Pelodiscus sinensis: one gene and its partner. Each later gene encodes a partner of the first gene's protein in a complex. Links are inferred from orthologs where the notes say so. Each region holds a gene or a part of one and is shown on either strand. Other genes may lie near its edges.

Evidence for each region.
Region 2: the proteins of MYO5A (region 1) and SPIRE2 are in contact, whole or in part, in a crystal structure (PDB 5JCY), measured with the Homo sapiens proteins. The link is inferred for Pelodiscus sinensis from reciprocal best matches to the Homo sapiens genes MYO5A and SPIRE2. Residues at the interface, in NP_001369276.1 of Homo sapiens: Asp1551, Val1554, Arg1555, Thr1559, Ile1562, Asn1563, Lys1566, Ser1597, Gly1598, Leu1615, Thr1616, Asn1617, Phe1618, Asp1619, Leu1620, Ala1621, Glu1622, Tyr1623, Val1626, Asp1629, Leu1630, Gln1633; in NP_115827.1 of Homo sapiens: Arg404, Pro405, Arg406, Val407, Leu408, Leu409, Lys410, Ala411, Pro412, Thr413, Leu414, Met417, Glu418, Met420.

Annotation. Positions count from the first base shown.
Region 1 is NC_134724.1:25,553,379-25,561,274, reverse strand, and holds the start of MYO5A (unconventional myosin-Va), read left to right. Parts: upstream 1-4,896; 5' UTR 4,897-5,015; coding exon 5,016-5,099; intron 5,100-7,896. UniProt on the Homo sapiens protein: Processive actin-based motor that can move in large steps approximating the 36-nm pseudo-repeat of the actin filament. Can hydrolyze ATP in the presence of actin, which is essential for its function as a motor protein. Involved in melanosome transport.
Region 2 is NC_134722.1:2,370,358-2,378,147, reverse strand, and holds the start of SPIRE2 (protein spire homolog 2), read left to right. Parts: upstream 1-4,776; 5' UTR 4,777-4,878; coding exon 4,879-5,095; intron 5,096-7,790. UniProt on the Homo sapiens protein: Acts as an actin nucleation factor, remains associated with the slow-growing pointed end of the new filament.

The sequences.
Region 1 (7,896 bases):
ATCTGGCAAACCTGGTACTCTGGCCTGTATGCCAATGGTGTAGTCGGGAGTTGTACGTTTCTTACAGAAATCATGGATTCTGTAGTCTGTTTTGTTCCCTCCTTCCTTATTGGTGTCTTGGGATTCTTTCTGGTGACTGAATGGAGGCAAGAGCAGTATTTGAACCAATTTCACTGTGAACCATGACAGCAGGAACTCTCCTGGTTTATTAGTGGTTTGTCTTGTGTGCATGCTTGGGAAAAGGCAGACCATGAACTCCAGGATGTCTCTACTTTACTATTTGGTGGTGTTTGCATGTTTGAAAAAAAAGTCCTGAAACTACTCACAATGAGATAGTGATTGCTACTTACTGTGAGCAATCCCCATGGCTTTATGGAAGTAAGCAATATACCACCCTGTGTTTGTGGGATTGAGCAACTTCTTGACTGGTTTCACATTTGAGCTGCACCCAGTATGGAAGCTAACATGTTTGAGTTCTTAGGGCTTGACTGAATGCTCATTGATGTTAATAGCAAAGCTCCATTGACTTTAACCATCCAGGATTGGGACTTTAACACATACTATTGCTGTCATTGGGCTCAAGGCTGTTTGATTTCCAGCTATTTGAAAATATGCCTTATTCTCAGGGTATTATTTGGCATTGCCTAGGCCTTTATCCTGCAAACACTTAAGCATACACTTAACTTTATTCACTGTATTTCTGTTTACCTCAGTGGAAGTAATTACAGTGTGTAAAGTTAAGCATGCTTGTAAGGGTTAAGCCATAATTTGAATTGTGTTTAATTTTAGGAGATAACTTTATGGTCCCCAAGCCCCCAAAATAATCTAAGTGGGAAACAAATGAAAATGCCTCTTGGGGTGTTTCCTTGATAAATCCTTAATGGTGAGTATCTTGGGTATAAATACTTTTCTCCTGCTGCCAAGAAAAGAGCTTTGACTATTTATAGCAAAACCTGTTCATTTTCCAGTGTGGTGTCCAATTTTTCCAGACAGTAGTTGTGTCAATGACATAATTAATGGGCTTGACTACTTTTAACACGGACTACTCTTTGACTTTCACTCTGTGTGTGGGCACCATCTTTGTATGGCACATACTGAATCAGCACTTTGTGAGACACTGAATGGCTCTGTAATTTGCCAACAGAAAAGCATCCAGAGCCTTTGAGTTGGAGATCTTGGTGCACTGCATGCTTGAGGCACAGGAACAACTTATTACCTAGGGATATAAGCTATTAGTTGAGCAGTTGACTACCCAATAAGCCTAGCGTAGGCTTATTGGGTAGTCAAGTCACTGCTTGACTAGTCGCTTCCCCCATCCTTGCTGCCTCTGTATCAGAGGAGCAAGGGGGAGGAGCGGGAGCCAGTGCTGGGGGGAGCTGGCTTAAAAGCTGGCTCCCCCCAGCGCTGTCTCTGGTGGGGGGCAGAGGTGCAGCAGGGGACCCAGTGCGATCTGAGACTGAGCAGTCCCAGCTCACGCTGACCAATGATGCAGGTTTCACTTCCTGGCCCAAACTAATTAGAGAAAGAAAGACAATCTAAGAACATTTCTGTGTAATAGTAATAAAGTCTTTGTGCTTGGGCTACAGCTCCTTTGAGTTTATTAGAAGAGGAAACGATGGTAACACCAGGGCCAAGTATCAATAAGAAAATGGGGGCAGAATTTAGTGGTTACATTAGAAGATTAATAGTCAAGACTCCTATTCTGGTCTCCGCTAATATGCTGTGTGACTCTGGGCACCTCATTTCTTCTGTTTTTCCTATTTGCAAAATGTGTACTGTAATTTCTCTCACTCTAAAATTATTTTTCTTGCGGGACGACAGTGACATCATCACATTACTCTGCATCCCGCCTGCCTACTCCTTCCTTCCCCACCCTTTCCCCAGTGCTCGGGAGCCAGGATTGCTGCACCGTGGCCTCCCTCTTCCCTGATGTTTGGGTGAGAGCTGGGGGGAGAGTGCAGGGTCAGGTGTAGCCAGACAGGAACCCCCTTGTAACATCCATTTTTGCTTGCCTGGAGCATACAGGGCACACAGAGCAGAAGGCCCAGGCTGTGTGACCGTGAATGGCTATAAACAGAGATATGCCAATTGCTGACCAAGAGGCTGCCAAGGAGTGCCCTTGACTTAACCCATATTGATACGAACACACATCCATCCGCGGGGGGAGGAATCTCTCGCCCAGTAAAAAAAATGTCTAGTGCTCACAATTTAGTTATCTCTCTTGCAAGTGTAAATTAACTTGAAACTTGCTTGTAAGAACTGGCGCCACAAAACGGACCAGTAGAATTCGGCATCTTAGATAAGAAAGAGAATACGGGCCCCCAGGGGTATAAAGATAGGTCCAGCAGCGCATTCTCTTTGAGTGTCAATCTACCATCTATCTGCTGGTCGGGTTAGGTGTTTGATCTCCCGAGGTTCCAAGGGGACGCCCACCTCGTATTCGTCTTTCCTAGGAATTGAGAGACCGGCCCTGGCCTGACACGCTGGAGTCGAGAGGCACAGAAAGGGGTAAAAATTGTACCTGGATGTGGTCCTTTGTTTAAGTATATATATACATAGACTTAGAGCTCTTTAAAGATTAAGCTGTCACTTGGTACCATTATTTCTATTTTCTATCTTTATTTTCTTTGTAACCATTTTTAAAATCTGTATTTGTTAGCATTTAAGAAATAGAGCAATAGCCATTGTAACCATATGCTTTTATAAGTCTTTTAATAAACCTGTAACTGTTTAAGCTTTAACCTGACTCCTTCAGTTGCTGTAACAGAATCAAGCACAATTTAAAAGAACTTCAGCCGGTCATAAAGGGACAGACATAGGGAGAGCTTGGGCATTTGGATCTGTGTCACTCCCAGGTGACAAGATCCGTTAGGGCACCTTTCCAGCCTTTCCCAGGCTGCCCGCTGCGAAGGAACCCCTGTGTTCTAGCAGTTAAGATCTAAGGTGTAATAAGCTCTTTCTATATAACGGGGCGTCTGTTGGCCTGCTGGCCACCCTCTGCGACGGGACCCCGGTCCTAGCAGTAAAGACACGGACGTTAAACCTTTTCTCGGAAGCATACACACACACACTGCCCTGACCGTCGGCTGACATCAGGTGAGACCTTGGCCCGGACCCTCTCCGACCTGATGACCAGGGGGAGAGCACGGGACCTGGTGAGGCCTCAGCCCTCCTCGGTGGCTGGGGAGAGGTGGGGGAGAGCTGGGGCTGGCACAGCTTGGGGGAGAAGGAGGTAGAGCCAAGGCTGGCTCTACTTTCCCTCTACCTTCCCTGATGGCTGGGGTCAGGGGGAGAGCTGGGGCTAGCCAGGACTGGTGTGGCTGGGGGCGGGGGAAGAGGATAGAGCTGGGCTTTCCCAATCTTCGCTCCCTGTCGGGCAGCTGGGGAGGGAGAGAGGTGGGGCTGGTGTGTCTGGAGGAAGGGAAGCACAATAGAATTGTTTTGAAAACAGTCACCATCACTAACTGCTTAATGCCATCTCCACCTGCCAATGGTGGCAAGCGTTGGAAGGACAGAAGCATAAAAGGTAGTGGTGTAAGAGTAGGGAAGCTGAAACTTTGCTCAGTGATGGGTTCATTGGTAACTTGGGAAGAGTTGAGGACTGCACTTCACTTGCATTTGCTCTCCCTTTTAATGTGGAATCCATTATAGTTCCTTGCAAGGTGGAGCAGAGTCTTCTAAGGCTGCCTCTCTTTCTTAAAAATCTATGTGGCCACATGCTGAATTGGATATATTTCTGGGTTGCAGGCCTCACATTGGCACTCGTTATATAGGCTTGACAACGAGGGTGCAGATATTGACCAGAAGAGGTCTAATCCAAGTGTAATTGCAGGAGTATATTCAGGCTTGTTACCATCATGCTGTTTGGTAGAAGTGTTATTAATGAATTCTGTTTAATACCTTCCTTATTTCTTCCCGGTTGCTTATCAAGTCTGTAATCTTCAATTGACTTTTAACCTCCATGAAATAGTGGCTTCTGCTACAGCTATGGCTAGCACATAATTAATTAAGATGGAACTAATAATTAACAGGAGAACTGGCTTATTGAGTTGGTTTAGTTATTGAGAGATGTATGGCATAAGCGGGGCGGCCCGTGAGTATAGGCCAACTTGGCTGTGGCCTACGGCGCCGCCTTCAACAGGGTCCCTGGGATGCCCAATGATGATGTCACGAGGCGCCCGGGGTGCCCAATGATGACGTCACGTCGTTGAGGGCTGTGCAGGCGGGGGTGCCAATCGCGCGTTCCGCCTGGGGCGCCAGCTGCCACAGCCCACCTCAGGCCACCCCTGGGCATAAGCACAATTTATACAATTGAGAGCCTTCTAAATTACCTATTCTCCTGGTCTGATGATAGTCTGGGTTACAAAATTAAATGCAAAATGGAAGCAATGCTACTATATGTCTCATACCTTGCTTTAGTCTTCAGTGTAACAGGTGAGGGGAAAATTATAACTTCAGTTATCTTGGTGCATAAAGGTTCTTCCAATTCATGTTTTCAGTGTACCTGTAGTTAAATGAAAACTGCAGGTTTGTAATGTAGTTTTAAATAGGGAAAAGTGTAACGTGTATTTTCTGTAAGATTTGAGATATTTGCATATGAGCTCCTTATTGAAAACAGATAAGACAAATAAATCATTCATTGGTACTGGAATTACTTATGTTTTCTAGTTTCTCCATTTGATTATCACAAGACAGTGGGTTCTGCCATTTTTTTTTAGTGTCTTAAACAAAAAAACACACTCACTCTTTGTGTCCCTGGAGAAATAAGCTAAAATATGGTGAATCACTTAAACAATGAAGCAATTCATTGCCCCAGCCTGGCTTGTCACACGTTTTCCTTGCAGATTTTCATGGGTTATTAATGCATATCTTTAAAAGAAGATGATCTTAGTAGTTATGTTGCAGAGATAAGAGAGAGAGGCCGCGGCTGGCCTAGTTGTTACTGCAGACCAAGTGTGAACAAAGTGGAAATACTCTTCACTCCAAGTAAATTCCTTTCACATGAAAAGGAAACTATGACTGAGGTGCAAGATGCTGGAAGCGTGTACCACCAGAGGTACTGGGTGGTGGTAGATGATTTAGACTATATGTACATTAAAGTAAGTGTAATCTGTTGACTTTTTTCATGTTCTTTGTTTTAATAAAATCGAAACCTTTTGATATGGATACGCAGTCTCTGTGTTTGTACCAGTGCTTAATGAAAGTTTAGTTTTGATTTATTCTGATTCATTGTTAATAGCAACAAGATTCTTTCAAACATGACAGATGATGGTTTTATGGTTTGGGACTGGGTCTCTTTTTTGTTGGTTTCTTTTTAAATATCTCATGGGTTTTTTTCCCCAATAAGAGACATTAGCGCTTGTGGTATTGTATGTCAGTGTGTAATATTTGTTTTTATTATCTGTTTATTATAATGGGATTCATGCCACAGCAATCTCAGATAATGAAAGGCAACACAACATTGACTTGGTGACAGTAGCTGAATATACAGTATTTGTGAAGAAAAGGAATATAACTACTTATTGAAATATGGTACTGAATGAAATGCATCAGGAATCCAAATAGATGCATACTAACTTTTTAACAGTCACTTTTAATGTGGGTGGATAGCTCTAAATATTATTGTGACTCTTCCTATTTTATCAGACCGTTGAAGGTTCTGTGGGCTAGAATCTGATTCCAGTTTATGCTGGTGTAAACTGGGGTAACTCACTTATTAACAGTGGTATGTAGCAAAACAAGGTGCAGTCAGCTTGTGTGCTTCCCGGCGCAGCAACAAAGTGTATAACTAAGCACATTTTGGTCCCTTAGGGCTTTATCAAGGTGTGGCTTAAAAAGATGTTTTCAAAAGAATGGAATGTATGCGGAAAAAGTCCTCCAGCAAATAGGATGTGAGACTGTATCAGGTTTTGTCCTACTCTTATTTTTACATGCTAGTGCAAGTGGGTCATCAGATTAAAATAAACCAGGTAAAAATGTTGGCAGTTAGAATAAATGGTTTCTGAGCCTGGAAAGAAGAGTGGGGAGAGATGCACAGAATGCTGGGTGCAGAGCCAAGGTATAGATGATTGTGTGTCTTCCTCTGACCCCATGTTTTAAAACTTTGTTCTGGGCATTATCAAGATGGGACAAGTATCGCGTGCACTAGCATGTGTTTTATGGAAATCTGCCCAGACTGTTCCTCCGTGACTCAGAATGTGCTATGTCACAGGTGGCTATGCCTTAGAGTTCTGAATTGATATTATCTGTTAGTGGCTGTAATTGAGCTTCACTGTGTGGCAACAAGGTACACATGGCTTATTTTGAAAGGTTCACCGCTCTTCCCATGAGCCCGACAGCATCTTTGCTTAGCTCTCAAGTTAAAGTAATTTAATAGCCAGGATTTGCTGCACTGCTGTTTTAACCTTAGCACTATACACATACCTTTGTGGTTTAGTTCAGGTTTTACTGTAGTGAAAGTTGTGTCTGAGTAAAAAATGAGGGAAGCCCTCAGGATTTACTCACAAATTTGTAAGAAGACGTTTGGGAAAGTGCAATCTTTTCCTTGGTATTTTAACTGTTAGGTTATCCTAATGTAAAATCTAATGTTTCTCTTTACATGTGCACGTTCCCTTGTTTTTATCCTAACAGTTTATCAGTTTTCCATAGTCCAGAAGCTTTGCAAACATTTATGAATGTCGCCTCTAATAAGCCTGCAGGATAGGCTATCAGTTACTGCTCCAAATTTCCTTGAATAACTTCAGTTTCTCGCTTCTAGTGCTATAGTACACTGGGGTGCAGTATGATCACTATAACCCTTTATTTTCTCTTCCTGCCCTGTTAAATTCTGGACGTGCCAACTAATCCCATTAGAACATTGCAGATGGCTCAGTGCTAAATCAGTAGCAATGATACAAAAGAAGTGATTTCCACTTCCTGTATCTATGAACCAAGGGTTAACAGACAGATGCATTCACCACTGTCTATGTTCTCCATCCCCCCATCTGGAAGGCTCTGTAAGCAGGACATTGGCTCATAGCTGTTGGCAGAGTGAGTCAGTTCAGTTGTCTCATCAGCCTTTCCTGTACAGGTGAACTTGAAAGCTTTTTTGAAGGGGGGAGGGGAGAGGAATCTGTTTGAAGAGCCTTAAAATTAGTAATAGAATTTGGTGGTAAGGAGGAATCAATATAATTTTTATATTAAAAATGTTTTAACTTAGAGCCTTTCATTTTAATATAAAGACCTGATTTGAAGGTTCTGTACTACCCCTGCAAGAATCCATGACACTGTTAACAACTAAAGCAGAGAAGAGAAACACAGGGCTTCTATTTTGAGGATGTCATTTGGCAATTAACTTGAAGGTCTTGACAGGTGAGAGGAGGTGTGTTAAGACCCCCTTCTCTTTCACCTGACAAGATCTGAGTCAAAAGAATATTGTAAGAGTAACATTTTGACTTGAATTAGGTTGTTATAATTTGTGCAAATTTTTAATGCCCGTGAATGGTGTTTGGTAGTCTTGGACACTGAAGTTTTCTACATAGCTACAGTGATACCTAACCTAGATCCAAAGAGAGCATTGCTATTCATTCCTGGGCCTCTTAGATGAGAGTGCCATCCATGTTGCCTATTGGTAGCAGTTGTGGTACATCTTCTGATGGGAATATCAGAGCTAGTTTTCAGAGGACAGAACATCCCACTCATTACTGAATACCAAAGAGCCCACAGATGGTAATGAGTGTCAGTCATTATTGACTTGACTGTGGATTTGGACTAATGGCGTGATTTTTAGTATTTAGCTGTAAACCTATACATTCTTTAAATTTGTGGTTTTAACAAGTTGTTTCACTTCTCTTTTTAGAACTAACTTCTTTGCGTCTTAAAGTGAAGCTACTTAAAGAGTTAACCCTGAAACACTGA
Region 2 (7,790 bases), on another chromosome or scaffold:
AGGGAGAGAGCGTTCCGCAGAGCAAGATGCTTGGCTTTCAGATGAAAAGCAAAGCAGAGGTCCTGCGCTGTGCACGCCGAGAACCTACAATGCTCAAGTGAGTCCTAGACAAACCCAGATGGGGGTTATACTGTACCATCCTAGCCCACCCTGCATCCAGACTGCTGCTGCACTTCCTGGCCCAGAACGCTATAGGCCTGTTGCTCTGTGCTTTGGCCAGTTGCTGTAGGCAATAGAGACAATGGCCTTGACTTATTGCCATAGAGACTACGGCCCTAATGTCAGTACTGGGCAAATTAGTTGAAACAATAGTAAAGAATAAAATTGTCAGACATGTAGAAGAACATAATTTGTTGGGCAAAAGTCAACATGGTTTCTGTAAAGGGAAATCCTGTCTTACTAATCTATTAGGCTATGTCTACACTCACGGCTTCTTGAGCAAGTACGGGCGTTCTTGTGCAAGAATCTGCAGAGCGTCCACACTGCCCGCCCGCAATTGCGCAAGGAAATTTACAGTACGGCGTGGTAAGAGAGGGCTCCTTGCGCAAGGAGACATAGCCTTAGAGTTCTTTGAAGGAGTCAACAAACATGTGGACAAGGGGGATCCAGTGGATATAGTGTACTTAGATTTCCAGAAAGCCTTTGACAAGGTCCCTCACCAAAGGCTATTACGTAAATTAAGTTGCCATGGGATAAGAGGGAAGATCCTTTCACTGGTTAAAAGACAGGAAACAAAGGGTACATTTTCAGAATGGAGAGGGGTAACTAGTGGTGTCCCCCAAGGGTCAGTCCTAGGACCAATCCTATTCAACTTATTCATAAATGATCTGGAGAAAGGGATAAACAGTGAGGTGGCAAAGTTTGCAGACGATACTAAACTGCTCAAGGTAGTTAAGACCAAAGCAGACTGTGAAGAACTTCAAAAAGATCTCACCAAAATGAGGGTATGTCTACACTACAGAGTTAGTTCGAACTAACTTAGTTGGAATTAGTTAATTCGAACTAAGCTAATTCGAACTAACGCGTCTAGAACTAAAAACTAGTTCGAATTAGCGTTTTGCTAATTCAAACTAGCAAGTCCACATTGAGTGGACTCTGAACAGGGCTTAAGGATGGCCGGAAGCAGTGCCGGCAGGGCATCAGAGGAGGACTTAGAGCGTGGAGATGCTGTCTCAGGCTAGCCGAGGGCTGCGCTTAAAGGGTCCCGACCCCCACCCCGGACAGACAGTTCTCAGGGGTGCCCCGCTTCCAAAGCAGTCCTGGCTTGGAGTGCCCGGAGTACCCACACTGGGCACATCACACCACTCGGACATCAGCCCGGCTGCACTTGCCGCAGGCTGCCATCTGGGGAGAGGGAGCAATCGGGGGGCTGCAGGAGAGCTTCCACCCCCAGAAGCCTGCAGAGCCAGCCCAGTCCTCCCCATCGGGGGCTCGTACCCCATTCCTCCCTCACCTCCTTCCACTTACCCTTCCCTAGCCCCCCTTCTTATTGATGTACAAAATAAAGATAACGTTTCTTCCAACATTGATTCTGTCTTTATTGAACAAAACTGGGGGAGACTGGGAAAAGGAGGTGGGAGAGGGGAAGAGAAAGGCTGGGAGAGGGGAGGGCAACTAACACGATCAGGGGTTGGGAACAGGTCCCAGATGAAGAGAGGCTACAGAGACTGGGACTGTTCAGCTTAGAAAAGAGGAGATGGAGCGGGGACAGGATAGAGGTCTCTAAAAGCAGGGGTTGGGTGGAGAGGGTGCATTCATAAAAGTTCTTCCTGAGTTCCCATAAAGAAGGACTAAGGGACACCAAAGGAAAGGAATGGGTAGCAGGCTTGAAACTAGTAAGAGAAAGTTGTTGTTCTTGACAAAGCAAATAGTTAACCTGTGGAACTCCTTGCTGCAGGAGGCTGTGAAGGCTACAACTAGAACAGAGTTTAAAGGGAAGTGAGATCAAGTCATGGAGGTTGGGTCCATGGAGTAGTCTTAGCCAGGGGATAGGAGTGGTGTCCCTGCCCAAAGTTTGTGGAAGGCTGGAGAGGGATGGCACAAGACAAATGGCTTGGTCACTGTCTTCGGTCCATCCCCTCCAGGGTCCCTAGGGTTGGCCGCTGTCGGCAGACAGGCTACTGGGCTAGATGGACCTTTGGTCTGACCCAGTACGGTCATTGTAAGCTCAGGGCTCAGGGTCGGGGGTCTCAGTGGACCCCCTTGATTTTCATGCACACCTGCTCCTGGGTGGCCAGGCTGGCAGCTCTCCTGCCCTAGCTGGCCACTTTCCTGTGCCTAGTGCGGAGATCGTGGACGAGGTCCACGATGTCCGCACTAGCCCAGGAAGGTGCCCACCTCTTGCGGTCCAGGGCAAGCTCCCGGGAGCCGCCAGCCTGGTCCCGGGAAGAGGGGGTGGGCTGGGGGACATCGGGTGGGTGGCTCTGTGCCGTGCCAGGTGCAGGGTCTGCTGGCTGGGTGCTGGCAGGCTTGCACCTGGCACGGGCACCGTAGCCAGCCCGTGCCCCTTTAAGGGGTCCGGGGCCGGGAGGGGGGCATAGAGTTTCCCTGGTGTTGGCCAGAGTGGCCACCAGGGAAAGCTGGTGAGGGCTAGCCTCCCACTAGTTCAAATTAAGGGGCTACACACCCCTTAATTCGAACTAGTAAATTCGAACTAGGCTTAATCCTCGTAAAATGAGGTTTTCCTAGTTCGAACTAAGTGCTCCACTAGTTCGATTTAAATTCGAACTAGCGGCGCGCTAGTGTAGCGGCTATGAATGTTAGTTCGAACTAACGTCCGTTAGTTCGAACTAACATTGTAGTGTAGACATACCCTGAGTGACTGGGCAACAAAATGGCAAATGAAATTTAAGGTGGCAAAATGTAAAGTAATGCACATCGGGAAAAATAAGCCCAGCTATACATATAACGTGATGGGGGCTAATTTAGCTACAACTAATCAGGAAAGAGATCTTGGAGTCATCCTGGATAGTTCTCTGAAGATGTCCATGCAGTGGGCAGCGGCAGTCAAAAAAGCAAACAGGATGTTAGGAATCATTATAAAAGGGATAGAGAATAAGACGGAGAATATCTTATTGCCCTTATATAAATCCATGGTACGCCCACAGATCTGCGTACAGATGTGGTCTCCTCATCTCAAAAAAGATATACCGGCATTAGAAAAGGTTCAGAGAAGGGCAACTAAAATGATTAGGCATTTGGAACAGGACCCATATGAGGAGAGATTAAACAGACTGGGACTTTTAAGGTTAGAAAAGAGGAGATGGAGGGGGGATATGCTAGAGGTCTATAAAATCATGAGTGGTGTGGAGAAAGTGAATAAGGAAAAGTTATTTACTTGTTCCTATAATATAAGAACTAGGGGCCACCAAATTAAACTAATGGGCAGCAGGTTTAAAACAAAGAAAAGGAAGTTCTTCTTCACACAATGCATAGTCAATCTGTGGAACTCCTTGCCTGAGGAGGCTGTGAAGGCTAGGACTATAACAGGGTTTAAAAGAGAACTAGATAAGTTCATGGAGGTTAGGTCCATCAATGGCTATTAGCCAGTATGGGTAAGGAATGGTGTCCCTAGACTCTGTTCGCCAGAGGGTGGAGATGGATGGCAGGAGAGAGATCGCTTGATCATTCCCTGTTCGATTCACTCCCCCTGGGGCACCTGGCATTGGCCACTGTTGGCAGACAGGATACTAGGCTGGAAGGATCTTCGGTCTGACCCAGTCTGGCCAGTCTTCTGTTCTTATGACTTTGCAAGGAATGTCAGGGCCTGCCCATGGATATGTAAAGGGATTAAGGAGGGTGGGATTAGATGGGTGCTCGTGGGCAGGGCACTCCTGTACTAGTGTGTGTGTTTAACAGTGCCGGGTGTGTCTGAGGAGCTGCCCAACAGAAAGGCCAGTGTCCCTTCCTTGAGGAATTTACAAAGCTGCAGGGGGGCGTCGACACTGCGGTTAGACCCCGGGGCTGGCCTGTGCTGGCTGACTCAGGTGCACAAAGCTCCCGCTAAGGGACTGTTCACTTGGAGCCCGCAAGACGGGGCCTCCCACCTCACGGGGCTCCGGCTCCGGGTTTTTAATTGCAGGGTCGCTCTAGGCGGGGTGACCCCACTGTGTGGGTTAGCGGGGGCAGGGAGGGCGAGAGGGGCAGAGGACTGAGGGGAGCGGGGGCTGGTGGGCAGGCGTGCTGAAGCTCTCAATGAAAAACACGCTCTGCAGGTGGGCGACGTTGCCCGTGCACCAGCGGGAGGGTGGAGGCTCAGGCCAGGGGCAGGGTGTGGGACGGTGGGTGCAGCCAGGGGCGGCCCGTCCATAGAGGCGAACTGGGCAGTGGCCTAGGGCGCCAAGTTAAATGGGGCGCCAAATGGTGGCCCAACATCATGGAGGGGTTTGGGGGGGAGGGGTGCCATCGCATGGTTCGCCCAGGGCGCCAGGTGCTGGCAGCTAGTCTAGGGCCGCCCCTGGGTGCAGCCCTGCAGAGGTGCCCAGGAGCCCTGGGGGGGGGCCAGGAACGGCACACCCCGAGGACCAGCGCGGGCATTTCCCGGCCCGGGCTTGGCCCCTGCAGCCGCTTTCCCTCCCCCGCCCCGGGGCGTGGCTAACCCCGGCCCGCCACCTGCGGCTCTCCCGGCAAGGGGCGCCCCCAGCGGCCGCCCAGGCCCCAGGCGCACCCCGGGGCGCCCCACCCGCGTGCGCACTGACCCCGCCCGCACCTGGGCGGTCCACAGGCTGCCGCCCCGCCCGCCCGCCGGGCCGAGGGCTGGGCTGCAGGGATGACAAAGCAGCGGCGAGCCGGGCGCAGCCCTCCCCCTCCTGCCGCGGCCGCCCGGCGCCGCTGCCATGGCAAGCAGCCCGGCGCGCCCGGGCCCGTGATGGGGCGGCCATGGCCCAGGCGGGCGGCAGCGGCGCGGGGGGCCCCGGGGCGCTGTCCCTGGAGGAGGTGCTGAAGTCCTACGAGCAGCCCATCAACGAGGAGCAGGCGTGGGCCGTGTGCTACCAGTGCTGCCGCGGGGGGCCGGCGGGCCGGATCCGGGACACGGCGGACATCCTGCTGCACAAGGATGGGGCGGTGACCGCCCGCGGGGCGCAGGGCGCGGCCGGTGAGTGTCCCCCGGGCCGGTGGCTTCGGGCCCCCCATGCCGAGACGAGCGCTGGGGGCTAGCGGGGGGTCCCGGGGTCCCCGCGCGTGCGGCCGGCTCCGCAGCCATGGATCGCTCCCTCCGGAGGGGAATTTTCCAGAGCCGCCGGGGGGGCGAGGCCGAGCCAGGCCGGGCTGCGCGGGGAGCTCCTGGCGGGGACCCCGGGGAGGGGGGGGTCTCACCGCCTGCTGACCCGGCCCCACGTCCCAGCTCCCGCCCCGTCCTTTGCAGGGGGCGCCCGGCCCCTCCCCCTGGGCAGCTGCTTCTCCGGGGCGCAGCGGCCGAGGGGCGCGGTGGCTTCCCGGCTGTGGCTCCCAGCCCTGCTCCGCCGGCCCCAGGGCCTGTGGGGTGCGCCTAGGCCCATTGCCCCGGAGCTGTGAGAGGGCCCGGGAGTTCCAGCAGACTGGGCACTGCCCGGGGCAGCCCCGCGGCCGGCCGGAGCGACCTCCGAGATGCCTGCAGGCCGGGCGGCAGGTGGAGCAGCCAGCCCTGCCCAGCCGGATTGCAACGCAGCCAAATGACCTTGCGCCGCTGGGACGCTGTGACCCGGGGTGTCAGGCTTGTCCATTGGAAACCCGCATTGGCAGGGCTTGGTGGCAGTGCCGCAGGGGGGCCCTGAAACCCACCACTCTGGCTGGGGGGGCGGGAGATAGGGCATCTGGGGATCCCCTCTCTGGCTCTTTTTAAACCCCCGCCATGAACAAAATCTGAGGTCTCTGGGTTCATGGAGGAAAACAGCTTTAACTCCTTTGAAGAGCAGGAAAGTTGGTTGACCCTAGAACACAGGCCTGGGGCCGAAGGCTTCTATTGCATTTAACCCAGAGACTTCCAAGTATTTCGCTCCACAGATTTTCTAGCTCTTTGGGTTGGAAACTGGCGGGTAGTAATCTGTGAGTTAAGAAATTCACCGACAAAACGATATTATGGGAAAGTGGAGACAAAGCGCACGGAATGCATGCATGTGGAAGGGTGAAAGCACAGTAATTATCATTAATAATGGGAATGACCAGTTCCCTGTAGTGTCTAAGCAGAAAATGGCCATACACACCATACTGGGGCATGTGAGGACATGATGCTTCATCTGAATCCTTGTTCTTCCCTGGTTGTCTCTCATCTTTAATATTAAGGGAATATAACACTGTCTGGAGAAGAAAGATACACGATTACCCGGAAGTTGCTTAGTAAGACAGTAAAACGTTGGGCACTTGTCACATGGACCTGGAGAGAGGTCAGGCTACAGCAATACTGAACAAATTCAAAATCTAGATGATCACAAGACGGGGTGTGCCAATCAGTTGGACTCTTGAGCTATAGTTGCCAGTAATCTTAGCCCTTCCATGTATCTTTCTCCAGCCACTGTCAAGAAGGGCCCAATCTGGCCAGCAACGGCAGACGCTAGCACACAAATTCAAAGACTCAGAGAGGGCTACACTACATGTGTAAACTTTGAACTTTATTGGGTTATGCTAATTACCCAGCCGTGAGCCAGGAGGTCAGTGTCTCTTCCAAAGACACATTTCGTAACGTGGGTAGTTTTATGGTCTATAATGACACCCCATGCCCATAGAAGTTGTTTGCAGTTTGGTGAGTGTCTCAAGCCAGCACCAAGAGGCTAGCATGCCTGTAATAATAGGGATCATGGTAATCATTCTTGTATAGCACTTTTCATTGTCAAAGCGCTGTACAAACACGGCCGTGTTACTGTCTGCCTTGACCCGGTGGGGTGTTCGCCTGCTTTTCCAGAGGGGGAAGCTGACAGGGAGAGCCTGAATCACGGCTGGAGTGTGCAGAGCAGAGACAGTCGGGACTTCATATTCTCAGCCCTAGAATGTCCTGCTTGAGACCACCGGCCTTCTCAAGCTAGGTGAGGGGAAATCAGATCACTTCTGGTTAAAAAGCAGCCCCCATGCAGCCTGTGCTGGCTGTGTGACAGCCTCACTCCTGGAATTCATGCACAAGGCCCTCCGCTTGACTACAACAGCTTCCAGGCAGCCACACCTGGCCTGTCACACACTGACCCTTGCACACTCTTATTATCAGGGTGATTCAAGTGGCAGTTAGCTGAGCAATTCCAATTATCGCGCCTGGGCCACCTGTGAGTTCCTCCTCCTCCTGACACTTGGGAGGATAAACACCGGCAGCGATCAGCCGGCGCGGGCTCCCTGTACAAACAGTTATACACAAATGAGGTGCCTTATGCAAACGCACGTCACTAATGTGCAGCTCTTTGCCTCTGACACAACAGAAAGGCACCTTGCCGGGCCCAGAGCCGTGCGTTTACCTCCGCGCTGAACTGGGAGGAGGCTGGGTTGTTACTCGGGTAATATTGACTGAAAATTCTTCACACAACCCTCCAAAAACTGGCTGAGCCTGTTCCAGGCCAATCGCCAGTGAAATCACTATGTGCTCAGATGCAATCACTATGAAATCACTATGTGCTCAGATGCAATCACTATGAAATCACTATGTGCTCAGATGCAAAAGGAAGCTGCTTTTCAACACACCACAGAAAATACGTTCGCCCGGGTTCATTAAATCATTCGGATGCTCTGGCCGGTTTTGCCCACAGGCGGTGCTGCTATTGTCCGTGGGAACGAGGCCAAGAATTGCATCACAGCTACGGTCCCTGAGGAGCGATGCTGCTGTGCTGCGTGGA